Oryctolagus cuniculus: one gene and its partners. The main gene of each other region encodes a partner of the protein of the gene in region 5 in a complex. Links are inferred from orthologs where the notes say so. Each region holds a gene or a part of one and is shown on either strand. Other genes may lie near its edges.

The links.
Region 1: DHX16 (region 5) and SNRNP40 share a complex: the UniProt entries of both Homo sapiens proteins name them as parts of the minor spliceosome. The link is inferred for Oryctolagus cuniculus from reciprocal best matches to the Homo sapiens genes DHX16 and SNRNP40.
Region 2: DHX16 (region 5) and PPIL2 share a complex: the UniProt entries of both Homo sapiens proteins name them as parts of the minor spliceosome. The link is inferred for Oryctolagus cuniculus from reciprocal best matches to the Homo sapiens genes DHX16 and PPIL2.
Region 3: DHX16 (region 5) and RBMX2 share a complex: the UniProt entries of both Homo sapiens proteins name them as parts of the minor spliceosome. The link is inferred for Oryctolagus cuniculus from reciprocal best matches to the Homo sapiens genes DHX16 and RBMX2.
Region 4: DHX16 (region 5) and BUD13 share a complex: the UniProt entries of both Homo sapiens proteins name them as parts of the minor spliceosome. The link is inferred for Oryctolagus cuniculus from reciprocal best matches to the Homo sapiens genes DHX16 and BUD13.
Region 6: DHX16 (region 5) and CWC27 share a complex: the UniProt entries of both Homo sapiens proteins name them as parts of the minor spliceosome. The link is inferred for Oryctolagus cuniculus from reciprocal best matches to the Homo sapiens genes DHX16 and CWC27.

Annotation. Positions count from the first base shown.
Region 1 is NC_091438.1:141,089,577-141,093,076, reverse strand, and holds part of SNRNP40 (U5 small nuclear ribonucleoprotein 40 kDa protein), read right to left. Parts: intron 654-3,500; coding exon 531-653; intron 1-530. UniProt on the Homo sapiens protein: Required for pre-mRNA splicing as component of the activated spliceosome. Component of the U5 small nuclear ribonucleoprotein (snRNP) complex and the U4/U6-U5 tri-snRNP complex, building blocks of the spliceosome.
Region 2 is NC_091452.1:29,116,114-29,119,613, reverse strand, and holds part of PPIL2 (RING-type E3 ubiquitin-protein ligase PPIL2), read left to right. Parts: intron 1-1,433; coding exon 1,434-1,525; intron 1,526-2,224; coding exon 2,225-2,314; intron 2,315-3,156; coding exon 3,157-3,232; intron 3,233-3,500. UniProt on the Homo sapiens protein: Has a ubiquitin-protein ligase activity acting as an E3 ubiquitin protein ligase or as an ubiquitin-ubiquitin ligase promoting elongation of ubiquitin chains on substrates.
Region 3 is NC_091453.1:108,064,832-108,067,816, forward strand, and holds the end of RBMX2 (RNA-binding motif protein, X-linked 2), read left to right. Parts: intron 1-224; coding exon 225-402; intron 403-921; coding exon 922-1,430; 3' UTR 1,431-2,485; downstream 2,486-2,985. UniProt on the Homo sapiens protein: Involved in pre-mRNA splicing as component of the activated spliceosome. As a component of the minor spliceosome, involved in the splicing of U12-type introns in pre-mRNAs.
Region 4 is NC_091432.1:108,711,949-108,715,448, reverse strand, and holds part of BUD13 (BUD13 homolog), read left to right. Parts: coding exon 1-101; intron 102-982; coding exon 983-1,064; intron 1,065-3,500. UniProt on the Homo sapiens protein: Involved in pre-mRNA splicing as component of the activated spliceosome. As a component of the minor spliceosome, involved in the splicing of U12-type introns in pre-mRNAs.
Region 5 is NC_091436.1:139,758,352-139,762,598, forward strand, and holds the start of DHX16 (pre-mRNA-splicing factor ATP-dependent RNA helicase DHX16), read left to right. Parts: upstream 1-1,447; 5' UTR 1,448-1,636; coding exon 1,637-1,843; intron 1,844-3,881; coding exon 3,882-4,129; intron 4,130-4,213; coding exon 4,214-4,247. UniProt on the Homo sapiens protein: Required for pre-mRNA splicing as a component of the spliceosome. Contributes to pre-mRNA splicing after spliceosome formation and prior to the first transesterification reaction.
Region 6 is NC_091445.1:85,759,123-85,763,256, forward strand, and holds the start of CWC27 (spliceosome-associated protein CWC27 homolog), read left to right. Parts: upstream 1-1,334; 5' UTR 1,335-1,777; coding exon 1,778-1,819; intron 1,820-4,134. UniProt on the Homo sapiens protein: As part of the spliceosome, plays a role in pre-mRNA splicing. Probable inactive PPIase with no peptidyl-prolyl cis-trans isomerase activity. As a component of the minor spliceosome, involved in the splicing of U12-type introns in pre-mRNAs.

The DNA of each region.
Region 1 (3,500 bases), on a different chromosome or scaffold from region 5:
TGTTATTATTATCACCTTCACTCTTCATGTGAGAAAACATAAGCTTAAAGTGAACAAGTTAAAGAACCCATTTGAAATCACAAAACTAGAAAACAGCAGAAGTGGGATTAGAACCCAAGTCAAATTAGTTGAAGGTTTAAGCTACACTGTACTGCCACACGGCCCACTGCCTCCTTCTCCAAAAGTATTACTTTCTCTCATTCTTACTAGAAGCTTAGAAAACTTAATTTAAATAGTGTCAAAAAGAAAAACACAGCAAGAGTGGAGGACACCCGTCCTTCCACTAGTCCTCCACCCAGGGGATGCATGCGGCACATGAACCGCCTGGTCCCTGACAGCATTTATATGGGCTGCAATGAAACCTTTGATTGAGGAAGACAATGAGGACCGAAGAGAAAGAAAGTTCTAAGTTATTATTGTAATTTTAGTTGGTATTAAGCACAAAGCTACCACAATCCCAAAAGTCTTCAAAGATTTGCTTCTGTAAGTGGATGCAGGTCAAAGTGAAATACAACACGAACATCACATACCTTGATATCATTGTCTATTCCACCAGAAATAATCTGATCACTTGTGTCATTGAAGGTCACAGCTAACACTTGGTATGTGTTCTGAAATGTCTGGATGGCTGCTTTCTTCCGGATATCCCAAAGCTAAAGCAGAGGAATAGGACAGTCTATCAGTAACATCTCCTTGAGAAGTAACTGCACAACATACTTGGTAGACATGAACACATCTAGAACAAGAACCTCATTCAGAAACTTTCTTGGATGTCCTAGCAACACATGGTAAAAAATGATCACAATTTTGCCAAATTATTTGAAGGCTGGTGGAATAAACTATTTTGGTTATATTTTCAGACTCCTTTGGTAATAAAGTTAGAATAAAATACTGTTAATCAACATGCCCTTGGAAGAAGTCCTCTATAAGTTTACTTCGTATATTCTTTAGGAGAAAGATATTAGACCACTGCCTAAAAAAAAAAAAAAAAAAAAAAAAAAAAAACCCACATATTTACTATTTGAAAGGCAGAGTTACAGTGAGAAAGGAGAGCAAGGGAGAGTGAGAGATCTTCCATTTACTTGTTTACTCCCCAAAATGGCTGAAGCTAGTACAGGCAGAAGCTAGGAGCCAGGAACTCTATCTGGGTGTCTCACATAGGTGGCAGGGGCAAAGCATTTGGCTCATCTTGTGCTGCTTTCCCAGGCACATTAGCTGGGACTGGATTGGAAGCTGAGCAGCCAAGACTTGAACTGGTTCTCATATGGGATGCTGGTGTCACAGGTGGTGGCTTAACCCACTGCATCACAGCTCTGACCCTACCTTGTTTTGTTTTTCAAAGATTTTATTTATTTATTTATTTTTAATTTGACAGGTAGAGTTATAGACAGTGAGAGAGAGACAGAGAAGAAGGTCTTCCTTCTGTTGGCTCATTCCCCAAATGGCCGCTATGGCCGGCGCTGTGCTGATCTGAAGCCAGGAGCCAGGTGCTTCTTCCCGGTCTCCCATGCGGGTACAGGGACCCAAGCACATGGGCCATCCTCCACTGCCTTCCCGGGCCACAGCAGAGAGCTGGACTGTAAGAGGAGCAACCAGGACAGAAGTTGGCGCCCCAACCGGGACTAGAACCTGGGGTGCCAGGGCCGCAGGCGGAGGATTAGCCTTGTGAGCCCCGGCGCTGGCCAGACCGCTCTCTCTTTGTATCCCTACCTTTCTATGTAACTGTCTTTCAAAATAGAAAAAAAAAAAAAAAAAAAAAAAAACTAAACGTTTTCATGTTTAGTTCTAGTCATAATTTCATAACTACATTCATAGTAGATGGTTTACTGTTAGTTATAATTAAAGTCAGTTAGTATCCTCTCCTATCCAAACAGTAATTTTTTAAAAGATCTATTTAATTATTTGAAAGACAGAGTTACAAAAATGGTGAGAAACAGAGAGATCTTCTATCTGCTGGTTCACTTCTCAAATGACCATAGCAGCTGGGACTGGTCTGGGTCAAAGCTAGGAGTTCAGAACTCCATCCAGGTCTCGCACATTGGTCACAGGAGCCCAAATACTTGGGCCATCTTCAGCGGCTTTCCCAGGCGCATTAGCAGGGAGGTGGATCTAAAATAGAGCACCTGGGACTCAAAACAGCACTCCAAAATGAGATATCACTGTCACAACTCTGGCCCCCTAAACAGTAATTTTATTAAATCATTCAGTAAATGTTTGTTGGCTCACCTCTCTGTCTCATCATGAAGGAAAAAACACTAAGATACAGTTCTAGCTCAGAGAGGAAATTGAGAACTGTTAACGAGAGGCAGAACAAAATATTTTTATATAGATTTTTAAAAGTTATGTTATTGGGGGCCGATATTGTGACGCAGTGGATTAAGTCCCCACCTGCAATGCCAGCATCCCATATGAGCACTGGTTCGAGTCCCAGCCTCTCTTTTTCTTCCAATCCAGCTCTCTGCTATGGTCTGGGAAAGCAGTGGAAGAGGACCCAAGTGCTTGGGCTCCTGCATCCGTGTGGCAGACCCGGAAGAAGCTCCTGACTCCTGGCTTCGGATCTGCCCAGTTCTGGCCACTGCGCCATTTGGGGAGTGAACCAGTGGTTGGAAGACTTTCTGTCTTTTCCTCACTCTGTAACTTTGCCTCTCAAATAAATAAATAAATGGCACACTTGCACACTGCTGGTAATAATGCCCCCTGGAGGTTTATGTTGTGTAAAACGGTCTGCCGGGGATCTGGGTTTGTCTTGAAACCCTGCAGCTAAAATTTTTATTGCATGTCTTGATTTATCTTACTGCAGAGTGGAGACTCAGACCTAAATTACTTAGACAGGAATCCTAGCTTTGTCACTTAGTAACCTGGAAAAGTGTACTCCATGTGACTTAGTTTTCTCCTCTATGAAATGGCTCTAAGCATACATGCAGAGCCAATCTACAAAGACTGGGAGAGTTTTTTTTACTTGTTCTAGGTGATAAAAGAATCACTAGTTGATAACTAAAATAATGGAACAAGACTTCAGTAGTTATGCAGGACAAACAACACAGTCTTCACAAAACTAGTTTAAAAAGTCACTAAACTGGGGCCAACACTGTGGCATAGAAGGTTAAGCCTTTGCCTGAGGAGCTGGTGTCCCATATGGGTCCCTGCACCCATGTGGGCAACCCGGAAGAAGCTATTGGCTCCTGACTTCAGCTGGGCCCAGTTCTAGCCCTTTTGGCCATTCGGGGAGTTAACCAGTGGATGGAAGACCTCTGTCTCTTCTTTTCTCTATGAGGAACTCTGCCTCTCAAAAAATAAATAAATCTTAAAAAAAAAAAAAAAAGTCGCAAAACAAACCAACAATGACAACTACAATGGCTCTGGTGTTGGGGCATAGTGGTTTGTTTTGTTTTGTTTTTTTGACAGGCAGAGTGGACAGTGAGAGAGAGAGACAGAGAGAAAGGTCTTCCTTTGCCGTTGGTTCACCCTCCAATGGCCGCCGCGGCCGGCGCACCGTGCTG
Region 2 (3,500 bases), on a different chromosome or scaffold from region 5:
CTCAGGCCAGAGTGGCCGCAAGGGGTTTCCACGCTCCTCTTCACCACGGCCCGCCCAGGCCCAGCCCCGCTCTGGGGCCCCCTGCTCTCCCCACGGACCCCCGCCATGGTCCAGACAGCCGTGTGGGGGACCCTCCAGCTTGCTGCTGCCTCGCCTGCTGACCCTGGCCTGGCTTCCCTCGCCTGCGTAGGCTGTCATCAGCGCTCACCGGGCATGTGTGCCCAGGGCTGCCTTTTCCACGGCCTGGTGCGTTACTGGCACCGGGCTCCCAGGAGCATAGGTGTGCCAGCCCCACTGCCCGCGTGGCATTGGGCGCCATGGCCAGTCGTGGAGGTCAGGGAACTCGGGCCTCTGCCCCGCTGTGATCTCACTCAGCAAAGGCTGCAGGAGGACCTGCCACAGGCAGAGAGCGACAGAGGCCCCGTCTGTGCACAGCCGAGGGAGGGGGCTTCCGTGCTGGTCGGGGAGAGAGCCAGAGAACGGTCTGGTGCTGCTTCTGCGTAGACAGGAGCGGGCGGGCTGGGGGAGATGGGACCCTTGCTGACAGGTTAGAGCGGGAGTCTGATGGGAGGGAGCCACGTGGGGGAGAGCATTCTAGGCAGGGCACCACCAGTGCAGAGGCCCTGGGGTGGGCGTGCACTTGATGACGTCTTTGCTCGGTGGGGAGTGCAGTGGGAGTTCACGGCTGAGGTCAAGGTGCAGAGCCTGGAAGGAGCCCCCAAGGGGATGGAGGGGGACAGTTGGCCCCTGTGTCTTCCGTGTTTTTGTTGGTTTTTTTTGAAAAGCAGTTTCTCTCTTTTGCTTTGCTTTGCGTTCCGAGAGCAGTGCCTGTCTCCGTCTCAGCCCTAGCTCCTCTCCGTTCTCGGCCCACCGAGATGAAGCAGATCCCAGCCCCAGCATCATTCCCTACTTACGTGCGGCCCAGCGGGCGCCTCTGTCATCCCTGGAACGGGGCCCGGGGCTGCCAGGGCTCAGATCGCTGGGATGCGCTCCTAACTCTTCCTCCATAGTTTTCAAATCAGCCTTTGAGGCCAGACCACTGTGGCCTGTGTCCTAAGCCTCTTAACCTCTGAGTCCTGGGATTGACTTGGCGGAGACCGATGGTCGCTGGCTGCAGTGACCCGGGCAGGGGCCAGGCCGGGTGTGCAGGCAGAGCTGACGGGGCGGCTGGAGGGTGTGCTTGGGGAGGGCCTACTGGGGCTGTCTGTGGCGCAGTGGTCACCAGAGGTGGGCTGGGGGAAGGGGCAGCGCAGAGGTCATGTCTTGCAGGATGAATAGGAGTTTCCAGGCGGCATTGGTGGGCCTGAGCAGCTGCTGTCTCCCACCCCCGCCTCCCCGGTGCCTGCTCTGGGCGGTCCCTGGCAGTTGTCGCTTGGGATGGCGGGGGCCGGCGCGGTGATGGGCCTCCCTCCCGGCGTGTGCCTATCCCCCAGGGAAGTACCACTGCCCGGTGCTGTTTACCGTGTTCACCAACAACACCCACATCGTGGCTGTCAGGACCACGGGCAACGTCTACGCCTACGAGGTGCGTCCTCGCCGCAGTGGGCTGGGGGTGGTGGTGAGCCAGGTGCTTGGGCCTGCTCAGTATCAGCCCAGAGACTGGGGTGCCTCCCGTGGCCTCCGCACCTGAAATCCAGGCACTGCTGCCTGCTGGGCTGGGGCCCGTGGGACCCCAGAGGGTCCTCCCACGCCTAAGACCAGGCTGTCCTTGGGCCAGCCCCCAGGGCTGCATGGGGAGCAGGCCAGGCCAGGTGCTGTCCCCTGGAGGGAGCTGTGCAGAGGCGCTGGTGAGGAGCTCCGGCCAAAGTGGCTGTTGGGAGAGTAGGCGGCCGCTGAGGCTGGGAGCAGCCCCACCTGCAGGAAGGCCCCTGGCTTTGCCGCCTCTCCTCCCAAGCTTGGGCCCTTGCGGGTTGTTGGCCAGCATTGCCCCAGGCTCTGGGGGCCGCTTCTTGCCTGGAGCACACAGATTGGCCTGGCTCTTCCTGGCCGGCTGAGGGAGGTGATGCCAGGGCAGGCACGTGTTGGGGGGAGGGCTCACTGAGCCTGTTTGCTGTCTGTAAGTCGTCCCCCAGCTGGTTCTGGTCGCTGTCTGGGAGCCCCACCCTTCACGGCAGGGCCGGCCCCAAGCCTGTGAGGTCTGTGCCGTTGGCTCTGGCCAGTTCTCTTCCCCAGATGGTGTGGCGGCCTAGGGCGGGCCCCTGACGCCAGCTCCCTCCTCCTGCAGGCTGTGGAGCAGCTGAACATCAAGGCCAAGAACTTCCGGGACCTGCTGACCGACGAGCCCTTCTCCCGGCAGGACATCATCACCCTGCAGGTGGGTGCACCCCGCCCAGCTGGGTGGTCTCCGGAAGCCACCCTCAGTGTCCCCAGCCGCCCCCTCCCACCTCTGTCACACTGGCCTCGGCTCAGCTGCCTCCTCATTCTGCCTCTCTCGCTGCCTTGGGTCAGGGCCCCTGACTCGGCGGCTGCCACCTCTAGGCAGGGGCTGCAGTGCACGGTGCCTGGGCATGTGGCACAGGTGTCCCTGTCCCGAGTGACATGCTCTGAAGAGCTGGGGTTTTGGCCCAGCTGATAATAATAATAATAATAATATAATATATAATATATATTATATAATAATTATTAATAATAATAATAATGACTAATAAGCCGCTTGGGACGCCCACGTCCTGTGTCAGAGCTCTTAGTCCAGGGCAGGGCCCCCCTCCATCCAGCTTCCTGCAAATGCGCACCCTGGGAGGTGGCAGGTGATGGTCCACATGGGAGACCCGGATAGAGCTCCTGGCTCCCGGCTTTGGCCTGGCCTGACCAGCCCAGGGCACTGCTGTCACCTGGGGAGTCAGCCAGCAGGGGGGAGCTCTCTCTCCGCCTGTGCTGTTTCTCGCCACCTCTGCCTTTCCGATAGAATAAACCAGAGAAAGAAAAGCAGGTGCCGATGGGGTGGACCTGAGGCTCGGGCCAACGTGGCTGCCCGCACAGCGAGCATTGCTCCTTAGCCAGGTGTCCCGGAGGGAGGGGACGTGGTGTGGCAAATGGGCGGCCCCACCTGCCTCATGCCCCTTCCTGGTTAGAGGTCCCGGGCCTCAGGGCAGCCGGTGGCCGGGTGCCGTGCCCAGCCCTGTGCTCGCTCTGCTGAGTGCTCTCGCTCTGCCGCAGGACCCCACCAATCTGGACAAGTTCAACGTCTCCAACTTCTTCCACGTCAAGAATAACATAAAGATAGTAGACCCAGGTATGGCCCGGCAGGCGCCAGCCTGGGAGAGGGGTTTGGGTGCGAGCAGGGTGGTGCTCCCGGAGCCGAGGGAGGCCCCTAATTGCCTGTGAAGACTGCGGCAGGGCTGCGGCTGAGCCTCCGCACCTGCCGGCGTCTGCCACTTCCCACCCCTGTGCCCCGCGCCCCGCGCCCCGCTGGGCTCCTGTGGGCTGCTGCTCTGTCCCGGGGTCCCCCTGCTCCCGGGGCGTCTGCCCGTGCACGTTGTTGGGGGAGGGGCCCTGGAGGA
Region 3 (2,985 bases), on a different chromosome or scaffold from region 5:
GAGAACGCTAGTACAACTGTCCCGGGCCCAGCTGGCTGCCGCTGCCCTAAAGGCTGAATGGGTTACCATCTAGGCACACCTGCAGTGATTCAGACTGGTTGAGTGGGTCTGCTGTGGCGGTTTGCGCCGTAATAGAATTAGAGAGAGGGTAATAGATGGCGTTCAAACAGCTGGACAGTTTGAAATGAAGCCTGCCTTTTTGAGACGCTGCCTGTTTTTCTTAGATCAAAGGAAGAACTATCCGGGTAGATCATGTGGCTAATTATCGGGTTCCTAAAGTCTCAGAAGACATGGACGATGTGACCAGAGAGCTCCAGGCGATGGGCTGTGGTGTTAATACCCCCTCACCGAGTTCATCTGAGGATTCTGAAGAAGAGAAACCCATAAAAAAGCACAAAAAAGGTAAAACATTCAAACCCAAGAGAAACTTGGCAGTCTTAGCATCTGTTCCTCCTAGAGTTCATTGATGGTTGATAATCGGGTCATAAGTATGCGAAGGAGAGGTGGGGGGACCTTATTTTAATTGGGGAAGGGGAGGTGTCAGCAGAAGACTCCTGTTCTGGGTTGAATTGTGTTCCCCAGAATCGACACGTTGAACTCCTCACCCCTAGTCCACTGTGACTGCATCTGGACATGTGGTTTTCAGAGAGAGACTGGAGTGGGAATGGCCGTGCCCAGCAACTTGACGTTGCGGGTGACAGACATCGAAGTTGCTTCCCCGCAGCACTTTCCCAGAAGCACAGGGTGACGGCTTCACGCTGCTGCCCAGCCTATTTTCCTTGCCCATGGGCTCCCCTCCCGGCAGGCAGGCATTGGTAAACTGGTCTACCTTTGCTGGATGTCACGTACACGGAGAGGAAAGACATGGCTTTAGGGAGTTCTATTTCCCTTTTGTTACCGATTGTCGCCCTTCTTCTCCAGACAAAATGGAAAAAAAGAAAAGACGGAAAGAGAAAGAGAAAGAGAAGAGTGACCGGACAGTACTGGTCGAGCAACCATCTCCCTCTTCCTTGCCCAGAAGCAAGACAATAAAGGAAAAGGATGAGCCTGGCCCTAAGACAAGCAGCACCAAGGGCTCCGAGAAGGTGCCGAAGTCGGAGTCCAGGGAAGCACGGAAGCACTACCCTGTCTCCCCTGAGGTCAGAACTGTCCCCCGCGGTGGAGTTGAGGACCTGGCCAGGGAGCTGAAGAAGGAGAAATCCAAGCATGAGCACAGGTCCTCCGACAGGAGAGAGGCCAGAGAAGAAAGGAACAGGGATAGGGACAAAGGACGAAGCTCAGACGCGTGTTCTAGCTGGCACAATGGGCATTCGGATGGGTGGAGCCATCGGAGTAGAAGTCGGAGCCGAGATCGATCTCACAGACAGAAGAAGTCCCGTAGCTCCCGGGAGCGGGAGTCCTCAAATCTCAGTGAGCGTAGGCGTCACTGAAGCCAGTTCAGCCGCTCGGTAGATCTGGAAATGAAATGTGTTTCTAAAATGCAGTCAGATTCAGCTACGCCATTACTTCTCCATATGAAATCTCTAGAGCTGATTTTTAAAAAATCCCTTGAGTAGTGGAGTCCTTGAGAAGGCTGTGGTTTCATTGGCAGATACCCTGCATTTTCTAGTACAATCCATCATCCCTGGAAATATACTTGGAACTTAACAGAGAACGTGTCCTGAATTTTCGTTCATAAATTGGCCATGGGGCCCATAGCCCCCCCAGCTTGAGATGAAATTGCCAGAAAAGGAAAATTACAGACAATTCTAGAGGCCTAGTCTTTGTCTTCAATGTTGAGAACCCAGCATTCTAAGACTTCCAGTTAGCAGGTAGAACTGCAGTGAAGTGTGGTTTAACTAGGTTCAGACAGCTGGAGGTGAATGTGATGGGATTCTTTTTTTTTTAAGTATTAATTTTATTTATTTGAAAGGCAGTGTTACAGAGGAAGGGAGGGAGAGACACAGAGATCTTCCATCTGCTGGTTTACTCCCCAAATGGCCACAACAGCCAGGGCTGGGCCAGGCTGAAGCCAGGAGCCAGGGACTCCATCCAGGTCTCCCACATGGGTTTGGGGACCCAAGTACTCAGGCTATCTTTCACTGCTTTGCTGGGCGCATTTAGCAGAGAACTGGATCGGAAGTGAAGCAGCTGCAGCTCAAAACTGTTGCTCATCTGAGATGCCAGCATCACAGGAGCCAGCTTACCACTGCACTACAACGCCAGTGCCTGATGGGATTCTTAAGAACAACCAGCTCCCTCTCTAAACCCTGTTTGAAAACAGCTTTAAATGTCTTGTCTTTTTCTTTTTTTGGTTGAGATATTTTTCCACATACTTTTTTCCCTTGGAATTCTTTGTATTGATGTGAAATGCAGATAACATAAAGTTAACCAATTCAAAGCAATTCAGTGGCACTTATATTCACCATGTTGTGCAAACACCACCTGTGTCTAGTTTTGAAGCATTCACATTGTCCCCAAATAAAACCTAATACCTATTAAGCAATAACGTGCCATTACCCCTATCCTCCCTGTCCCTGGAAGCCACCCATCTGCTTTCTGTGTCTATGGATTTGCCTGTTTGGGATGCTCCACAGAGCAGGAATCACACAGCAGTGGCGTTTTGTGTCTGGCTTCCTTCACTAAGCATAATGTTTTCTAGGTTCATCCATGTTATAGCATGTATCAGTACTGCACTCTGTTTTAAGGCTCAATAATATCCTGTTGAGAGACCACGCTTTGTTTCTCCATTCCTTGGGACGGACGTTAGGATTGTTTCTACCTTTGGTTAGTCAGCTTCCTGTTTTGTGTGCAGACACGCCAGGCGACCTTCTGTGCTTGGTTTGCTTTTCACGTAGCCGCTCTTGCTCAGGTGGGAACACTGGTAGCTCCATCGCACACCTTTGGTCTGATTGGTAGTTCCTTCTCATTTTGAATCTTAGTTTCTATTATAGCACTCAGCCCCTTATGAATTTGGCAGGAACTGGTTCACAGGCCCTGCTGCAG
Region 4 (3,500 bases), on a different chromosome or scaffold from region 5:
TGAAGATCTGGATCGGATGCTGAGAGAACAAGAAAGAGAAGGAGACCCCATGGCCAACTTCATCAAGAAGAGTAAGGCCAAGGAGAGCAAGAATAAGAAAGGTGAGACTTCCGGCAGTCACCAGAAGTGACTAGAGGGGATTTATGTGAAGAAAGACAGTTATTAGGGTACTAATACACAGCTATGTGCAAAGAAGGCTTTCCCATTCACTTTTTTTTTTTTTTTTAAAGCAGTTTGTCTCTAAAGTTGAGATTTGAACAACTTTGGTTTTTTGTTTGTGTTTTAAGATTTATTTATTTATTTGAAAGAAAGAGTTACAGAGAGAGGGAGAGACAGAGAGAGAGAAATCTTCTATCTGCTGGTTCACTCCCCAAATGGCCAACGGCCAGAGCTGGGCCAGTCTGAAGCCAGGAGCCAGGAGCTTTTTCTAGGTCTCCCGTGTAGGTACAAGGGCCCAATTATTAGGGCCTTCCTCTGCTGCTTTCCCAGGTGCATTAGCAAGGAGATGGTTTGGAAGTAGAGCAGCCGGGACTCAAACTGGTGTCCATATGGGATGCTGGCATTGCAACGATGGCTTTTCTGGCTACACCACCAGCCCCTCTCATACACTTTTAAATTCCTTGTATTTATAAAGTTAGGTTCAACTTGAGACTTTTTTTGAAAGGCAGATGTGCAGGGGAGAGACAGAGATCCATCTTCCATCTGCTGGTTCACTCCCCAAGAGGCCCCAATGGCCAGGGCTGGGCCAGGTGGAAGCTGAGAGCCTGGAACTCCATCCGATCTTCCATGTGGGTGGGAGGGGCCCGAGTAAATGAGCCATCTTCCACTGTTTTCCTAGGCATATTAATAGGGAGCTCCATTGGATGCAGAGCAGCCAGGACTCAAACCAGTGCTCACATGCGATGCCAGCATTGCGGGTGGCGGCTTGACCCACTGCACTACAATGCAGAAACTATTTTTTTTTTTTCATTCCTCTCATTAGTGCGACCTCGCTACAATGGCCCAGCACCTCCTCCCAACAGATTCAATATCTGGCCTGGATATCGCTGGGATGGAGTGGACAGGTAATCATGATTATTTCCTACATTTTCATTTTCTCTTCTGTCTGACCTTAATCTTTCCTCACTGTTTTTAAATCACTCTATACTCTGCCTCATTCTCTGCTGTAATCACAAGGTGAATAATACACATTTTGCTTGCTTCTAGTTCTGAGGTTCACAAATCCTATTTCCCATACTTGGAACACTCCCCTCCCTCCTGTTTCTTTTTCAGAATTGACGTGGTCAAGGTAGGGCATCTTTTGTCTTGGACATTGGCCTTTTAATGATATTTTCTAAGGTTTAGAGGGAATGAGTTATGGATTGTGGTCTGTATCTTTAAAATGTAGTCCCTGAACCTTCATTTCCTTCACTCTCTGAGCAGTGAGCTGCTTGTAATGTTTCACAGACTCTCATCTATTCAACCACCAGCATCTGTTTCCATGTACTCTAACTTCTTGTCTGTTATGATGTATGAGCTGTATTTTCTCCTACTCCAAGTCAGTCCTTCTACTTACTTATTAGATCCCATCTCCTCTTGCCTGCTAAAGAACATTCTAGTATCTAACACAGTGATTCTCAAAATTTTTAATCTCATGACCCCTTTACACTCTTAAAAATTATTTAGGATTCCCAAAAGCTTTTATTTATTTACATAGATTATATTAATATTTGCCATATTAGAGATTAAAACTGAGACATTTAATTATATTTATTCTAAAAATATTAATTAAATATTAATTTAGAATATACTATTCTTATTTTAATTTATTCTAAAAAAGTAAAGCTGTTACGTGTTAAAATAATTGCCATATTACTTTTATAAAAAATAGCTATATTTTTCAAATTAAAAAAGTACTGACAAGGATAGTGTTGATCTATGCTTTTGCAAGTCTCATTAATGTCTGACTTCAGCAGCTGGGGTCTGCATTTGTCTGTTGTGAAATGTTGTTTAGCTAAAGAAAAGTCAGCCTTGCACATAGGCTAGGTGGAGAAGGGAACACATATTATATTCACTGATACTGTACAACATCTCAAGTAAGTGCCAGTTTCTTGAAGGTTACTTAGTGGGATCTGAAACCATATCAGGGAACTTTTCATACTGTTGCATAAAAATCCATTTATCTTTTTCCTAGTTTGAGTGAATCTTTGACTTCAGTTCATTTTTGTTGTTATTTCTAGACTCTTGTTCTAATTTTTTGTCTACTTACTTATTTAATTTGAAAGGCAGAGAGACAGACAGATGGATTTCCTATGTGCTGTGTCATGTCTCAAGTGCTTGTTTTAGCCAAGGCTGGGCCAGTTGAAAGCCAGGAGCCAGAATTCAATGTAGATCTCCCACATGGGTGGTAGGAATCTAACCACTTGAGCCATCACCTGCTACCTCCCAGGGTTTGCATTAGCAGGAAGCTGGAATCTGGAGTGGAGCTGGGACTCAAACCCAGACTGTGGTAAGGGATGCTGGCATTCCAAGTAGCATCTTAATCAGTACATCAGATGCCTGCCCCCATACGTGATTTTATAACATCACTCATTGATCATTTGCAAAATACTGGTTTGCTGAGTTTTTCAGCTCTTCCAAATGCTGACATGTTTTCATTATACAGTTATACTTTCGCTAGTCTTACCTTACTGCAAGTCTCTTTAAATATGGGAAGCTAAAGAATTATGGTGACAATTTTTCAAAATTCTAATTTACACTTAAAAGCTTGAATTTTTCCATTGGTAACAAATATTGTCAGTTTTTCAGCTCATCTTGTACAATAGCTTTTTTTGTAAACTCCATCAGATTTTGTATCTAGAAGATCATGCTGTTTTTGAATACAGACCGTTTTGCTGCTTCTTTCCATTCTGAATGCCTTTTGTTTCTTTTCCTGTGTGTGGCATTAGGTAGCCTTTCCAGTACAGATGCTGGCTAGGAGTAGGAAGAGCTTTATTCCTGATCTTAGGAGAACGTGGTCTTCTACCATTAAAAATGGCTTTGTAAATTATGTTTTTTGTCAGTAAACCTTACTAAGTTGAGGAAGCTCCCTTCTATTCTTAGTTTACTGAGAGTTTTTTCATGTATTATGGATTTTTAAAATATTTCTTCTTGGATCTCTGATCCATGGATTATTTAGAAGTGCATTGTGAAATTCCAAACATAGTGATTTCACGAGATATCTCACTGTTATTAACTTTTTTTTTTTGCTTTTAATTTGTATTTGTTTTATGCTGAATTTATTCCCAGCCCGTAAGTTTTTGTTTCTTCAGCTTTTTGTAGGATATCTTTTCCTTCTGTGCCACCTTCTCTTCTGGTGTAGGAGTAATTTATCTCTCGTCAGTGAGGATCATCTCTGTGTCAGGCGGAGCCCATGTGCGGGTTAATGCACACATGCACAGCGATGTGTCTTGGGGGCTGTGTTCAGTGACCAGAGACTCTGCATCCAGATCCTCAGTTCAGCACGCTGTGTCTTTAAGCAC
Region 5 (4,247 bases):
AAGCCAGGAGCTTCTTCCGGATCTCACACACTGGTTGGGCCATCCTCTGTTGCTTTCCTGGGCACATTAGCAGAGGGCTGGGTCAGAAGTGGACCAGCTGGGGCACAAAACAGCACCCATATAGGATGTAGGCAGTGTCTTAACCCACTGTAAAATGCCAGCCCTCTCAGCTTATCTTTCTTTTTCTTTCTTTATTTTATTTATTTATTTTAAAAGCAGAGTTACAGAGAGGCAGAGTGAGAGTGAGAGAGGTCTTCCATCTGAGATTCACTCCCCAGATGGCTGCCATGGCCGAGCTGTGCTGATCTGGAGCCAGAAGCCAGGAGCTTCTTCCAAGTCTCCCACGCAGGTGCAGGGGCCCAAGGACCTGGGCCATCTTCTACTGCTTTCCCAGGCCACAGTAGAGAGCTGGATGGGAAGTGGAGCAGCCGGGACTAGAACCGGCACCCATATGGGATGCTGGTGCTTTAGGCCAGGGTGTTAACCCGCTGCGCCACAGCGCTGGCCCCAGCTTATCTTTCAATAAGCAGCCACCAGTGAATTAATCAAACTGACAGCACAAACGCTGAACACAGTTTGCCCATTTCAGATAATTTTGTCTTTTTTTTTTTAAGGAAAATTTTTTCTTTATTTGAAAGACAGTTACAAAGAGAGGGATAGACAGAGAGAGAGAGAGAGAGAGAGAGAGAGAGAGACGTATTCCATCTGCTGGTTCACTGCCCAAATGGCTGCAAGGGCCGGAGCTAAGCCAATCTGAAGCCCAGAGCTTTTTCAGGTCTCCTTTGTGGGTGCAGGGGCGCAAGGACTTGGGCTATTCTCTGCTGCTTTCCTGCATTGGGAGCTGTATCAGAAATGGAACAGCTGGGACTCAAACAGGCACCCATATGGGATACTGGTGCTTTAACCTGATGTGCCACAGCGCCGGCTGGCCCAAATTTTTTCTTGCAACAGTTTCCCCAGTTCCAACTTTCTTCCTGCTTGGAACTCCCCTTATAGCTAACCTGTATTCACTTTTGTTGCAGATACCATTTCTAGCAAAGGTCAATCCTGCTCAGCACCTGCTAATCTTTCACAGCATGAACATGATCTCATTTGAAATAAAGCCGGCAGCCCGCGTCCCCTTACCTTGAACTATTTTAGACCCGGTAGAAAATATGTACTTTTACTTATTTATTATGTGGCTTACCTCCCTTGAACTCTGAATGTAAACTCGATGTTTTGTCTGATTTACCGTCTGCAGTATCCCCAACATTTTACACCGTGCTTAAAACGCCTTTTTTTAGGCGCTCATTGAATTAATCTCCTTTGAACGAATGAATTAGCGAAGCCTCCACTGACCATCAGGGGGCGATAGAGAAATCGGGCAGGGAAGGAAAATGTGCTACCCAGAGCGAGATTTGATTCTGCGAGATTTGAACTCGCGTAGCCACCGTAGTGCTTAGGCCGGAAACGAGCATCCTCTTCCGGGCTCGGCGGAAGGCGGGTTTGGACTGTTGGAAACCGAACCCTGAGGTTCTAAAGCAGCTCCGTCGCGGGGCTAAGGCTCCGGCCCGGTGCCCCGGGCCTGCCACAGGCCCGGCCGCCGGCGCGGCTGCTCCGGACGCCTCAGCGCTGAGGACCGGGCAGGTGGGTGGCCATGGCGACGCCGGCGGGGCTGGAGCGCTGGGTTCAGGAGGAGCTGCACTCGGTGCTGGGACTGAGCGAGCGGCACGTCGCCCAGTTCCTCATTGGAACCGCGCAGCGCTGCGCCTCGGCTGAGGAGTTCGTGCAGCGCCTACGAGACACCGACACGCTGGACCTGGGCGGGCCGGCGCGGGACTTCGCTCTGAGGCTCTGGAACAAGGTGTCCGAGGGGCGGGGCAGGGGAGGGCCCCGAGTTACGCGTCCGGGGGAGGCTGGCCCGGTTGTCCATCGGGGAGATAAATAAGCTAAAGGCACAGTCATCCTTTGCCGACTGTAGGCTGGGTACTGTGCCTGGTGCCGGGCGTCCGGCTCGGTGGAGAGCATCCGGCAGGTCTTACATGGGGTGGGTTGAGTGCTGTAAAGCAATGTTCCTCCAGCTTCAACCTGCGTAGGAGTCAGCTGTGGTCCTTGTTCAAATGCCCGTGGTCCGCGGGCCGGGCTGTAAGTGGCCAGGCTCTAGAAGAGGTGGTTGGGAAACACTGCGGGAGAGCAGAAGAGGCGGCGGGGACAGTGTTCAGCAAACTCAGGCCCAAGGATCCCCGGGGATTTGTCAAGTGGAGAAGGGGGAGGGAGCGAAGGTGTGAGCGGTGAACTCCTGGAGGATCGCTGGCGTCTGTCCGGGTAGTCCTCCTGCCCAGCCGTTGTCTGTCGGACAGAGCAGGGCCCCATGTGTGCACAGAGTGGGAGTGTCCCAGAACGGTAGAGAGCCTGGTGCGGCTCCGCCTGCGGACCTGTGGCCGGTGTATCCTGCCATCTACAGGTGATGTGGTGATGTGTGACAGCCGGTGTCACATTGCGAAGTTTTGGAGTTTTTTTTTTTTTTTTTTCTTTTTTTAAGATTTATTTTATTTATTTGAAAGACAGAGTTACAGAGAGAGGTAGAGACAGAGAGGTCTTCCATCCACTGATTCACCCCCAGGTGGCCGCAATGGCTGAAGCCACACCGATCCGAAGACAGGAGCTTCTTCCAGGTCTCTCACGTGGGTGCAGGGGCCCAAGGACTTGGGCCATCTTCTACTGCTTTCCCAGGCCATAGCAGAGAGCGGGATCAGAAGAGGAGCAGCCGGGACTAGAACCGGCACCCATATGGGATGCAGGCGCTTCAGGCCAGGGCTTTAACCTGCTGCGCCACAGCGCCGGCCCCACATTGCAGAGTTAACCCTTGTAGCCTGTCAGTCCTTGTGTAGGAATGACTTAAATCCTTGGGAAAAGCAGAACTATAAGAAAGTGGCCAAGTGATTGAGAACTGGGTGTGGGGTTGTAAGCTCTGGGAGGGCAGAGATTTTTGTTCATTCTGGATCCCTAGTACCTAGCAAGTACCCGACAGGTGGGATAGACCTCATTAAACGTGTGTTAAACAAGGAGGCTGTGGTATAGGGGGTGAAGCTGCCGCCTACAGCGCCGGCATTCCATATGGTACTGGTTCGGGTCCCAACTGCTCCACTTCTGATTCAGCTCTCTGCTAATGCACCTAGGAAAGCAGTAGAGGATGGCCAAGTCTTGTGCCCCTGCACCCACTTGGGCGTCCCGGAGAAATGTCCTAGCTCCTGGCTTAGATAGGGTTGTGGCCATCTGGGGTGTGAACCAGCAGGTGGAAGACCTTTCTCTCTGCCTCTCTGTAGCTCTGTCTTTCTTTTTCTTTTCTTTTTTTTTTTTTTTTTTTTTGACAGGCAGAGTGGACAGTGAGAGAGAGAGACAGAGAGAAAGGTCTTCCTTTTGCCGTTGGTTCACCCTCCAATGGCCGCCGCGGCCGGCGCACTGCGCTGATCCGATGGCAGGAGCCAGGAGCCAGGTGCTTTTCCTGGTCTCCCATGGGGTGCAGGGCCCAAGCACCTGGGCCATCCTCCACTGCACTCCCTGGCCACAGCAGAGAGCTGGCCTGGAAGAGGGGCAACTGGGACAGAATCCGGCGCCCCGACCGGGACTAGAACCCGGTGTGCCGGCGCTGCTAGGCAGAGGATTAGCCTAGTGAGCCGCGGCGCCGGCCTGTAGCTCTTTAAAATCAATCAGTCAGTCTTTAAAAAAGTGAATGACGGAAAGGAAGTTCAGAAACTGAGGGGCTCTGTTGAGATGAGAGCAGGATGAAGTCATGGGGAGGAGAGGGAATGCTGGCTGATCTAAGATCAAGTCCTTAAGTCAGGGACAGCCAGGGGGGTGAGCAGCGGTCAGGAGTTGTTCACGCTGCTTATCCCTGACAGGTACCGCGGAAGGCGGTGGTAGAAAAGCCAACTCGGGCGGCGGAGCGAGAGGCCCGAGCCCTGCTGGAGAAGAACCGGTCTTATCAGCTGCTGGAAGACAGTGAAGAGAGCAGCGAGGAGGCCGTGGGCAGGGCTGGGAGCAGCGTCCAGAAGAGGCGCAAAAAACGGAAACACCTGCGGAGGAAGCGCCAGGAGGAGGAGGAGGAAGATGAGGAGGAAGAGGCTCCCGAGAAAGACAAGAAGGCAGGGTAGGTCAAGCAGGGCGAGGGAGGGTGGGCTGGCGGGTGAGGGGCGGACCCGTGGTTTAACCCTGAGCGGGTCTGGGGCTGCAGGGGCAGCGGGCAGCAGCCGGCCAAGCCCGAGTCA
Region 6 (4,134 bases), on a different chromosome or scaffold from region 5:
TAGGCTTCTCCTTAAACACCACATCCTCTGGAAATTCCTTTTGGCCTTCCCTGTACCCTGTTTGGTGGCCTCTCCACGTGTTTCCTAAGGCCTTGATTTTAATTTGTCACAGCACTGTTCCCACCTTCTGTACATTTCTCTCTCTTGTAAGTTGTGTGAAGAGCAGCTCTCTTTGTTTACCACTGAATTCCCAGTGCTTAGCCGAGAATCTGGCGTGCAGTAGGCACTTAATAGCGCCCGTTTCCTCTCTCACAACTCCGGAAGTGCTCGCCCCCAAACTGCAGTTGGTAGAGAAGCACTTGCAATCCCCCAAGAGCTGTCTTTAGAATAAGGTTCAGAAAAGGCAGCCGCACAACAACGAATGAGGTCAAATAATGGGCGGGAAGCGCAGGTTTAAATAAGTTGGGGTTCTGAGTCCGAGGACTGTGCAAAATCTTTTTGCACTGTGAATCTGCTGCAGAGCACCTGGGTAAGGCCGATTGACGGCGAAGCCGGTCCTTGCTAGAACCTCCAACAAGCGGGTAGGTGCGGAGCAGGGCATCTCACAAGCACTTCCTCCCCAGGGCCTACCGTCTGGGGCTCAGTGACCTCTGGACACAGAGCTGAGAGCTAGAAGGAACCTCAGATCCAACAGCGCTACTTCTTTGCAGTTAAGGAAACTGAGGCCGAGAAAGTCCAGGCCTGAAGTCTCAGGCCACACAGCAGCGGCGTGCAACCGAGTAGAACCCCGCACGCCCGCCCGCTTCATCCCAGTGCCAGCAATGCCTCTGGCTACCCGGACCCTCCAGGAGCTCCCACTCCCGATTTCACTTTAAGCCATACCGAAGTCGAGGCAGGGTTTTCTCGGGCGCCCGCCAGCTGGGGCCTACAGTTAGTCACTGCCCTTCCTTCTTCCCTCCCGTCCACAACACACTTCCCCTGTCATCCCGGGCGACTGGGGCTCGGCTAGGGGACGAGGAGGTTTCCTGCCTTCGGAGCTGTCGTGTAAACTTTCCCGGGTGAGCCAGCCAGACCGGTTCATTTCAGGGCCGCCAGCTAAAGGCCCTCTGCTCTCCTCCCCAGCTCACCGCCCTCTACCCTGCCCCACCGCTCCCTTCCTGCTCGGACGCACGCGTCCTCCTGTTAGGCTTCACCTGGGACTGCCATGACGCTGGTATAAAGGGTCGCCGGAGCCTTCAGCTGTCGAGAAAGCGTCTGCTTCCCGCCCGCTGCGGGGACAAAGTTCAGCAAAAGCGGCCGCCTCTCACTCGCTCCGAGGCACCTTCGCGACAGGCAGGGAAGGCCCTATAAGCCTCTAGCGATAGCGGAACCAAGAAGCTGCGGATGCAGTTTCCGGGCGAGTCATAGTGCATACTCCACCTGGTCTGAACCATTGCGGCTAGCTTTTGGGGGGGTGAGTGTGACTTGCACACGATTATGGTGCAACAGACACTATCAAGATTTACGGAGAGTTCCTTTTAATAGTGATACAACAATTTACAATTTATATCAAGCCAGTGAAGCTTTAGGATATTTTTATCATTCCGTTGACGATATCGGACTTCCCTTTCTCTGAGTTAGCGGTGGTCTGGTCTAGGAGGAACATGGCGGCGTCCGTGAGAGGCTAGTTTTGGGTGAAAGTAGTGCTTGGTGCTAATTGTCTTGCGTGATACTGACCAACTGAAGCTTTCCCAGGCCATCTAACTTAAGGAAGCGTGTAATGAAAAAAGAACAGCTTTAGGAACCAGCCGTCCGCTCGCATCCCCAGTAAAGAACAGAGCCCTGAGCACTGACCAGCATGAGCAACATCTACATCCAGGAGCCTCCCACGAACGGGAAGGTGAGCATCTTACCTGGTATTATCACCTGGTCTCCCTAAACTGAGACCTCCCAGGTTCGGTGAGTCCAAGGACCTTCCGGTTGGCAGAAACCACGAGATGTGTTGTCCACGGACAGTGTTGCGTAGAGAACACCGAAGTTGTCACTTCTCAGCATGCACTTGGAAAAAATGCTTAACTGGAGGTTTCTCTAACAGCCTCTGACCTTATTTCTTGTGTTAACCCAACTCAGGCTGGGGTTTTCCAGGATCTTAGGTTTGCTAAAGTACATTTTTTAGTGTGACATATTCTTTGTTTGACTTGGACAGCGTTAATTCTCCGTTCTTTGTACGCCTTGCCTGTTAGGCGCCAGGCACTGTACTCGGTACTGGTAATAGAAAGATGGACGAGGGCTAGTTGTTGCCCAGGAAAAGCTTATAATTTAGGTTGAGGGACAAGAAGGTAAAGAAAAACTTTATGCTGTGTCTGTTTGTGGAGAGGAGAGGTAGGTCTGTTTGTGGAGAGGAGAGCATATTGTCATGGCAATGCTGAAGAGTGAGCAACTAAGAAAGTTTTGAAAAACCTTGTAGACAAAGTATCTTTTGAGCTGGTCTTATAATGTGAGATACTGTCAGACAGAGTGGAGAATGGGAGATGTTACCACATTAGAATGGGAGAATGATTCTCTAGTTTGGTGGTCAAGATAGGGAAATCCCCATCCAAGGTATTTGTGTACAGTATGAGACAGAGGAGTTAATCCTGGGATAACTGTCTTCTGAATTCTTGAACTGAGACCTAGTCCATATCACATATGGAATGTGATGAACTAAATAAATGGTGGGATTGAAACTATATAATTGAATTAGGATAAATAAATTTACATAAAATATGATTCTGTTGCATGCTTGTATCAAATTATTTATACAATCTTTTTTTCCCTGACATTTGGTAAGGTGAATTTTAGTGGGCATTTTGGGCAGAATTAGTCTTGCAGTTCCTTGCTGTTTGAACTTTCCCAGGCATTGTAGCTTAGCATCCCCATCCCACTCGCCACCTTCATCCACTTTCCCACCCTTTCTCTACCTCAGTGTGAAAACCCCAACTACCTACCTTCTCATATTTTCAAATGTTTCTTGAATGCACTGTCGCTCTCAGTTGATAAACACTGGTAAGGATCCAGTAGGTTGCTCATCTGGTTTGCTGTTTTACCTCTTACGTATGTCATCCTTGGTAAGGTAGTCTTTCTCCTTTTCTGTGAAATAGCAGATCTCAGCCATGCCCTGCATCCCATCATTTTCTGACTCCCTTAATGTCTAGGTTTTTTCCTATAGTATTTATTATGTATTTATTTATTATATCCTCCCCACTGCTCTCCCCCCATAGCCTGTAAAAACCATGAGGGTGGAGTCAAGCATCTAAAATAGTGTTTGACACATGGTAGAAGGAGTTCAAGTATTTGCTGGCTGGCTGGATGAATTAATGCTGGTGTTTCTCTTAGCTTCTGAGATGTATTAAGCATCAGTGAGTTGGAGTTTATACTGCTGCTAGTCGAGCCAGACTTGGTTGCTTTATTCTAGAGAAAAGTTTGACAAGATCATGTAGATGAAAAGCTTTCGCAAGGATACATTCCGGAGTAGGAGATCATTCATTCTATGCATATTTATCAAGCACCTAGCTCTTGCCAGGCTCTCTGCTATGTTTTCAAGATACAGTGGAAAGAAAAACAGCAACATCCTCATTTTTTGGAATCACTTGAATGAAATAATCAGGCAAATAAATATGTAATTACAAGTTGTGATGAATGTTGTTTTTCTTCTGAATGGAAAAGGGCTGATGGAGAACATGAAACAGCCCAAGGCCTCCTCCAAAACCGGTTTGAGACTTCTTCCAGCGTAAGGCTGATTTAAGACATTGCAGCTTCAAAGTTCTGTACTGCAAAAAGCATGGCAAGAGTTTTGGCCTGGAAATAATTTAAAGCAGCTATAATAACAAGTCTGCTGAATGAATGTTTGCTTAATTATTTACTGTTTAGTGGTATGTAGTTTCTGAAAGGATGCATAGATATTTGGAATCATTAGAACAAAAGTCTTCCCTTCTAAAAGTATGGTATCATTTTGGGAAATAACTGACACACGACATCAGTGGTGGTCCATATGTATTCACTGTGTTATGCTGTGGTCCTGACTCCTGAAGACTACGCATAGAAATATAGTACTAGCTGGAACTTTTCATAAGCATTAAAAAAACTCACTGAAGATAAAATTTCCATATACTATTATCACTTAATCTAAATTAAGTGTAATGTATGTATTCTTAAGAAGCATGATATTTTGGAAGT